2 linked regions of the Schizosaccharomyces pombe genome follow. Changing the gene in region 2 together with the main gene of any one other region gives a genetic interaction. Each region holds a gene or a part of one and is shown on either strand. Other genes may lie near its edges.

Evidence for each region.
Region 1: mutations in sut1 (region 2) and par2 together harm fitness more than expected from each alone (negative genetic interaction), as found in Schizosaccharomyces pombe (one large-scale study listed by BioGRID).

What each region holds. Positions count from the first base shown.
Region 1 is NC_003424.3:1,333,864-1,337,621, forward strand, and holds the start of par2 (serine/threonine protein phosphatase PP2A regulatory subunit B-56 Par2), read left to right. Parts: upstream 1-1,639; 5' UTR 1,640-2,064; coding exon 2,065-2,457; intron 2,458-2,525; coding exon 2,526-2,769; intron 2,770-2,841; coding exon 2,842-3,038; intron 3,039-3,088; coding exon 3,089-3,483; intron 3,484-3,538; coding exon 3,539-3,758. Other genes in the region: transcription factor TFIIIC subunit Sfc1, read right to left, coding at 1-1,058, 1,167-1,280. UniProt on the Schizosaccharomyces pombe protein: The B regulatory subunit might modulate substrate selectivity and catalytic activity, and might also direct the localization of the catalytic enzyme to a particular subcellular compartment. Has a role in cell shape control and septum formation.
Region 2 is NC_003424.3:3,933,478-3,937,235, reverse strand, and holds the start of sut1 (plasma membrane sucrose/maltose:proton symporter Sut1), read right to left. Parts: upstream 1,876-3,758; 5' UTR 1,755-1,875; intron 1,709-1,754; coding exon of another isoform or gene 1,403-1,708; 5' UTR 1,184-1,402; coding exon 706-1,183; exon of another isoform or gene 640-705; coding exon 1-639. Other genes in the region: SPOM_SPAC2F3.07C (uncharacterized protein), read left to right, coding at 1,403-1,708; karyopherin/importin beta family nuclear import signal receptor Kap104, read left to right, coding at 3,168-3,275, 3,398-3,758.

The DNA.
Region 1 (3,758 bases), 2.6 Mb from region 2:
TCTACCTCTTCGGCGTTTAAAATCATATTCACCGCGACTTCAGAAGGCATTTCTCCTTCGATCAGCGCAAAGAGTTTTTCACGCATAAGATCTCTAACCTTATAGTAACGACCGCTTCTATACCATCCTGTGTCCCGATGACATTCAGAACGTAACTGAGTATCTTTCAGTAGTGGTGCAATTGTGGGATCTACGATATCGCACACTTGATAAACACGATTAGTGGGAAACAAAGTCTTGCCATCAAACACGTGAGTTTTAGTCCCTTTATGTTTTCCATTTAGCTTGAGTTTAAAGAACAAAGCTTGGTAAGCAGCTGCATTAGAATCTTTTCTAGGATCGTATCCAAACCGCGTATATGTATCTCTAAATGGACCTGAAGTCCATAAATAAGAAAGGTAAGGAAGAGCAAATTTCAAATAGTGAGTATATGACGGGTCTAGATGATTTAATAAGGCTCTTCTCGTCCAAACGGGTCGTTTTTCAAAAAGAGGTTTTAAAGCTTCTATAACTTCCTGAATTGTCTTCGAAGGCTCACCTAATTTTGAGTGTCTACATGTAGGTACACTTTCAACCCCCATATTTGTAGTGATAATCCAAACTCTGCATTGACCTTTTAGATTGACTATTGTAGTTTTCCCATTAGGTAGCCGAACTCGACCTACTAGTGGATTTTGCAAGAAGTTATAAGACATGGGTAGACTTGTCTGAGAGAAAACAGGAGGAGGAGGCATGTCGACATGTTTTCTTTGTACCGGAGTTAGATCGATGGAAAACTTATTAATGGCGTTATAGTCAAGCACTCGCAGAGTGGAATCTAATTTTTGAACGAATGGTGAATTTTGAGTACTATACTGGAAATCAGCCATATCTCTGAATAAGAAAACTTGACGAATTCTACTGACATTTTGCACAGAGTTGTCCATTTTTTTAATCGTTACTAATAGGTCATTTCTGGATTGCACTCGAGCTTGTACTGGATGATGGTATTTATCTTTAGGCCTTAGATTCAACTCCAACAGAGCTTGTTTTGGGTTTTGAAATGAAGTTTGACATGCCTAGAAATTGTTAGTATTAGGTCAAAAAAGATTATCAAATTCATGTTTTATAAAAGGGGAAGCTTAAAGATGTAAGCCGGTCATTCCTATACTTTTTTAGCAATTTACCTTTTGAATTGATTGAACACCGCCTAATGTCTGAAAAAATGCATCCTTGTTATTAGCAAAGCCCGGATGCTCAATGAGTGCATATTCATTGTCAGAAATTTTTAGACTATTCATAAGATATATGCCTAATATGGTATGCTATAAAACACTGGAAAAAGTAGGGCAAAGACTTTATATATATTTGCTTTTAAAGTAATTTAATTAATAATCTGGATAACTTATTCCTCAAATGAAAAATTAATTGATACACATCAATATCATTGCTTCAAAAGCATTTTAATTTTTTGGCAGCTAAAATAATGTTGTTCCAAACCTCGGACATCGTACAACAATACAGTAACATCATAACACAAGATTTTTGCCGATCCGTTAATTCACAGTACCAGCCAATTTCCCAAGTACGTTATTTCATACTACCAGCCTTCGGTAGCGTCCCATAACATTCGAGCCACTCGCCCCGTTTTGCTTCATTTGCCAAACATAACTCATAGTAAAGTTGTCATTACAGGAAGTTTCAAGGTTAACCCTCTTAACTATTCCCTAGGGTGTTTAGCTTATATACCCATCTTATAAAGGGGCTCAGAATTCTGTTACCGAGGTTGTTGCCGTTAACTCTTTGACTTGCCGAGACATATTTACGGAGTACTTGAAAGGAACAAATCATTTATTTACCCACCACATAAATTTACCCTTTTCTAACTCATCATTGTGTACAAATTTATTAACAGACGTTCTTTTGAAGAAAGACAACGTTTACATATTCAGTAATAGGTGCATTCATTTAAGTTTCGAAATTACATTCGGTCCCAATCCTAGGAATCATTCGTTTTTTAAATTTGGTTATTCGCTATCTTTATAACTTGCAATTGAGCAAGGAAATCATCTCATTTGCCTTTTAATGAAAGGATTAAGGAGTAAATTTGTAAAAGCACTTTCGTTGAAGGATGAACAAGGGTCACATAAAAATGGTCATTCAAAAAGCCACTATATCTCTAAAAATGGGTCTTACGTGGAAACTGACGACGTGAAGCACACAGACACTCACCATTCTTCAAAACACGAGCTTAAAAAACTTAAGAGTCATTTCCTAAAAGATACTTTAAAGCACAAACGAAATCATCATGCCAACTCAAATAATGAAAAACATGAAAATTCTGATAAAAAAATACATACGACGGTTCTAGCATCTGGACATGAGGATTCTGATTACTCTACGTTTTTGCCCGTAATTGAAACTTCTAAAGTTAAAGACGCCAACCATTTCCCACCTAATTATCCAGAACCAAAAAATGTAAGTATACGTCGGTTAGTTTAATATTTTCTACCAAAATGATTATTTTCATACTAACTTACTTGTAGGATTCTGTATCGTCTAACATAGACGAATTTCCTAATGATTCCATATCTTCTGCCTCATTTTTATCTGTCCCACAATCCACTCCTCCTTATTTAGTTTCACAGCCAACTCCCTTAAATAAATTTTTAGCAGGTGCTGAGAATGTTGACATTCCGCATAGTCTTAGACCAGTACCTCGACGCGAACACTCCTCTCAATTTCAAGTATCTGAGAAAAGAACATTAGTTCGGTTGCCTTCATTTGATGGTACGTTTAGTAAGATTCTTATATCTTATTTTAATAATGTACTTTTTTTTATTCTTGTGCTAATATAATTAGATGTTCATACCTCTGAACGTGAAGAACTGTTTATAAAGAAGCTTGAACAATGCAATATTATTTTCGATTTTAATGATCCATCTTCCGATTTGGCTAGCAAAGAAATAAAAAGAGAAGCCTTATTACAAATGATAGATTATGTGTCTGAAAACCGCGGTATTTCTTCCGCATCGCTTTTTCCTTATGTTGTCAATACAGTATGTTTACTCCTCTGCTTTTTATTACTGTAAAAATCTAATCACTATAGTTTTCCCTCAATGTATTTCGGCCTATATCACCTGCTCTTAATGATTATTCATCAGATATGTTTGCTTTAGACGATGAGCCTTTTTTGGAGCCAGCGTGGCCTCACTTGGAAGAGGTGTATTTATTATTTATTAAGTTCCTAGAATCTCCTGACTTTAGAGCCAGTAAAGCAAAATCGCTCGTTGATCGTAGGTTTTTTAATCGCTTGCTAGCACTATTTGACACAGAAGACCCGCGTGAGCGCGAACTTCTGAAAACAACATTACATAGGATTTACGGAAAATTTCTGAACCTTAGGTCATACATTAGAAAGTCTATGAATAATGTTTTTTTGCAATTCATTTATGAACGAGAAAAATTTCATGGAATCGCTGAACTACTGGAGATACTTGGAAGGTATGTTTCATTAATGGTTATAGTTCCTAAATTGATTTACAAACTAACTTATTAGTATTATTAATGGATTTGCTGTACCTTTAAAAGAAGAACATAAAATATTTTTGTCCAAAGTGCTTATTCCTTTACATCAAACTAAATCTGTTTTTTTATACCATCCCCAACTTACGTATTGCATTGTTCAGTTTATCGATAAAGATCCTTCTTTAACGAAGGCAGTCTTGACTGGCATTCTTAAGTACTGGCCACGAATAAACAGCTTTAAAGAATTACTG
Region 2 (3,758 bases):
TATTTCCGAGATCGTTTCTTTCTTGAATGTTGTATTCATTATTAGATGCATCACTCGATTCGTCCTCCTCATCATCCTCCGTGTCCTCGAGCAACAATGGAAGTGCTGTATTTGCGGCAAGAGAAATGATAGCAAAAAGCAGTAATGCGAACGACCCTTGACGAGTCGCCATGTCCCAATCTTCTTCATGGCCTTTAGGAGCATGGCGTAAATATAAAATACCCACATAGGTAGTAATATAAAACAAAAATGGAAACCATCCAAAGTATGCAAAAAATTGAACAAAACAAATTCTTTTTAATGTAAATGGAAGTGCGGTAATACTTTGTCGCATAGTTGTAAAAAATTCAAAGATTTCTCCAGCAACCGATTTCTCGTGTTCAACTGGTGGGAATCTCCTTTCACTCACAAATATTGTTGTGATGGTAACTGTGAGTACCAAGGAAATGGAGGCAAGTACGCAAAACACCTGTAACTGTGTGAAATTGAGAAAGGAGAAGATGCGATATAGAGGTAAATAGCCTAGTAAGTACCCAAGCACATTGCCTACACCTATCATTCTTCCAGCCCAGGAATTTGCTTCATGCTGTTGATCTGAACGGACTGAATCAACAATTAAAGATCGAGTGCTAGCCATTACTAGTTATAAAGTTAGTCATTTGTATGAACTACTACTCTGAAAACTAAATCCCTAAATTCACATACCGACATTGACGGCCACGTCAAGCAAATAAATGCTAATCGTAGCCAAAACGATAGTAACACGTTTCATTAGAACCTCATTGCTAAATATAAAGAGGCAAATATCAGGGGCCCAGCCCATAAGGAATAAGCTGAATGTTCCTAACAAACTAGCACAGAGCATGAACGGTCTCCGCCGACCTATTCTTGAATTAACCCGGTCGGACAATATACCAGCAATTGGCTGAATTAATATTCCAGTCAAAGGACCGGCAATCCATATAATTGAAGTCCATTCTTTACGAAGACCAAGTGAGAATAAATACGGTGTACCATAACCAAGTTCAACCGACCAAGTCAATTGAACTCCCAAAAGTGAAACTGTAAGAGCTATTAAGTAGAGGGAAGAGCGAGAAGGGATAGACTCTTTAAAAGGTGATGATGCCTCATTTTCGGAGGATAGAAGTTGTCCATTCTCCAATTGATTTTCATCTACAGACATATTTTAATGAAACTAAGCTTTAAAAGCAAAAGAGAAATGAGAGGAACGTTTGGTGGAACTTCTTTGGTAAGAGATATCTGTTCCTACAACAAAGTTCAGGGGGATTCAATTATGATTGAGAGAAATGATTTTTTAATTTTTCAAAATAATTGATCGCTGTCTAACTTGCAATGAATGTATCTGATCCTTGATAGCATACAACAGGCCACAATGTTTTAAATGTTAGTCAGAGAGAATAATTCAAATGATAGAAGTATAATCGAATATGTGATAAAAATCCTTCTAATTTCGGGGATTTCAAGAATTATTATATTGATTTTAGCAATGTTTGAAAGTATTAGACATATAATTTTTCACAACGATACCAATCCCAGTGATGCTCGAAAGTTTCAAATGGCAATTTGTAGATTAAGTTCGCAGAAAAGCAGAAAACTAAAGAATCCGATTGAAAGTTCAACGACGAGTCACAAAAAGAAAGGATACGTAAGAAAATGTTATGAATGTCTGCAGATACAGGTTAGTTGAACAAAAGCGATTAAAATGAACATAGAACAAAGCATCGTGTACTTACTTTGAAATCGTCAATAAGCAAAAAGCTTCAATTTAAAGCAATAAGCAAGGAATAAGAAATAATAATAAATAATTAAATAATTCCTTACTAATAAAGTACCTTTTAAAAGTATGAATTCTTATGAATCCTTTCAAATTACTACACCTTTTAATATGCTTGGTTTAGAGGAGCGACTCCATCAGCCCAGCTCCGCGTAAATGTCATGTTGACGTTACACTGTGATTCTGCACTATAGGACATTACACCGCGGCACACTGCATTCCTGTATAAGTCAAATGCTTTTTATCTTTTTGAAATATCGTATAAATAGATGCCGTTAAGTCCTAATGATGATTAGTATATTTGAATCTTAATTTAATCATTAAAACTATATAGAATATTATCAAATTTAAACTGCACTCATCAATTTACTAGTAGCTATCGCACTTCCAATATTATTATAAGAATATGTATACATATCAATAAACATCTCCAGGGGCGCATTCTGAATACAGCAATATTCCGGTAAAATGGAGAACTTTTACGGTATTTTATTGCATCCTTGAAAACTAAAGAGCAGTTCGTAGCGAAACGATATATATTTAGCGAAACACAATGTTGCAATCAGTATACTCGTAAGCTATATTAACGTGATTAAGTATATACATAAATATTGTAAAAAAATAAGGAGAACGCAGCCATTCCTTATAACGATGAATAATTCTTCTTATGGTTAATGTACAGAGTTAGACATATTTATGATTGACCTAGATAATTGTCTATGCTACTCAATAGCTTTCTTTGCACGTGTTTATTGGGCCTGAACATAAATTGGAGAAGTTAAAATATTGCCACGTTCGAGCAATAGTAATTTAAACTCAATGGTGTTATCCGCGCATGGCTTGTCGCTCAAATACTTCTCTTGAATAACATGGAGCTTAAATATAATTCTTTTTTAGTATTCAAAACAATATCAATCCGCCCCTAAATTCCTAAATAACATTGCATGGTTTTCCATAGACAGTGCTATTCTCTTCGTCAGCAGGTAACATGCAACCCAATGGACTTTTCGTAAATTTTTTGAAGAAAAATCAACAAATTTAAAGTGATATAGGGGAGCTACGTGCTAAAATTCTTTTTTTTTTATTCTGTAAATTAATTTATTTAATACATGAGATCATTATACTGTGCTGTGAGTGTTGAGATGCGTCTACGGGAAATTTGCAATATGAACTTTTTACTTGGTAGAAAAATCCTGTCAATACATGTTTAAATGTGAAAACAAATACTGGAATCCATTTATTTTTTAACGAATCATAGCATACCACTCTGGTAAATGTAAATCTTGGAATTGCTTGGAATGGTACTACCTGCCTTCCCCACACTCATCAGAGAACTACTACCAACAACTTCTTACAGTAAGTACAGAGTAAGATGGGGGACAATCCTTGGGTTCTCCAGGAACAAGTCCTCGTAGAACTTTCAGAAGTGATAAAGAATTCACTCTCCGAAAACTCTCAGACTAGGAATGCTGCTTTAAATGTAAGATTTTTTTTTTCTAAAATTAAAAGTTTCTTTCTCGTTGTAGAAGATGCTTCTTTTTACTTCACGTGTGTAACGACGTGTGAAGAAGAAATCAAATGGCATAACTAACTTTATTATAGTTGCTTGAGAAAGCAAAGGATATACCAGATCTAAATAATTACCTTACTTGCATTCTCATCAACGCTACGGAGCTTAGTGTTTCAATTAGATCTGCTGCTGGTCTTTTGTTGAAGAACAATGTTCGTGTTTCAAGCTTAGAGTCTGGTTCAGGTTTGCAGAGCCTCGATTACACAAAGTCAACAGTTATTCGCGGTTTGTGTGACCCTGAACAACTCATTCGAGGCATATCTGGTAATGTGATCACTACAATCATTAGTCGTTGGGGAATTAGTACTTGGCCTGAAGTATTGCCACAATTAATGGAAATGCTTTCTAGCCCTGCTTCTACCACTCAAGAAGGAGCATTCAGCGCCTTAACTA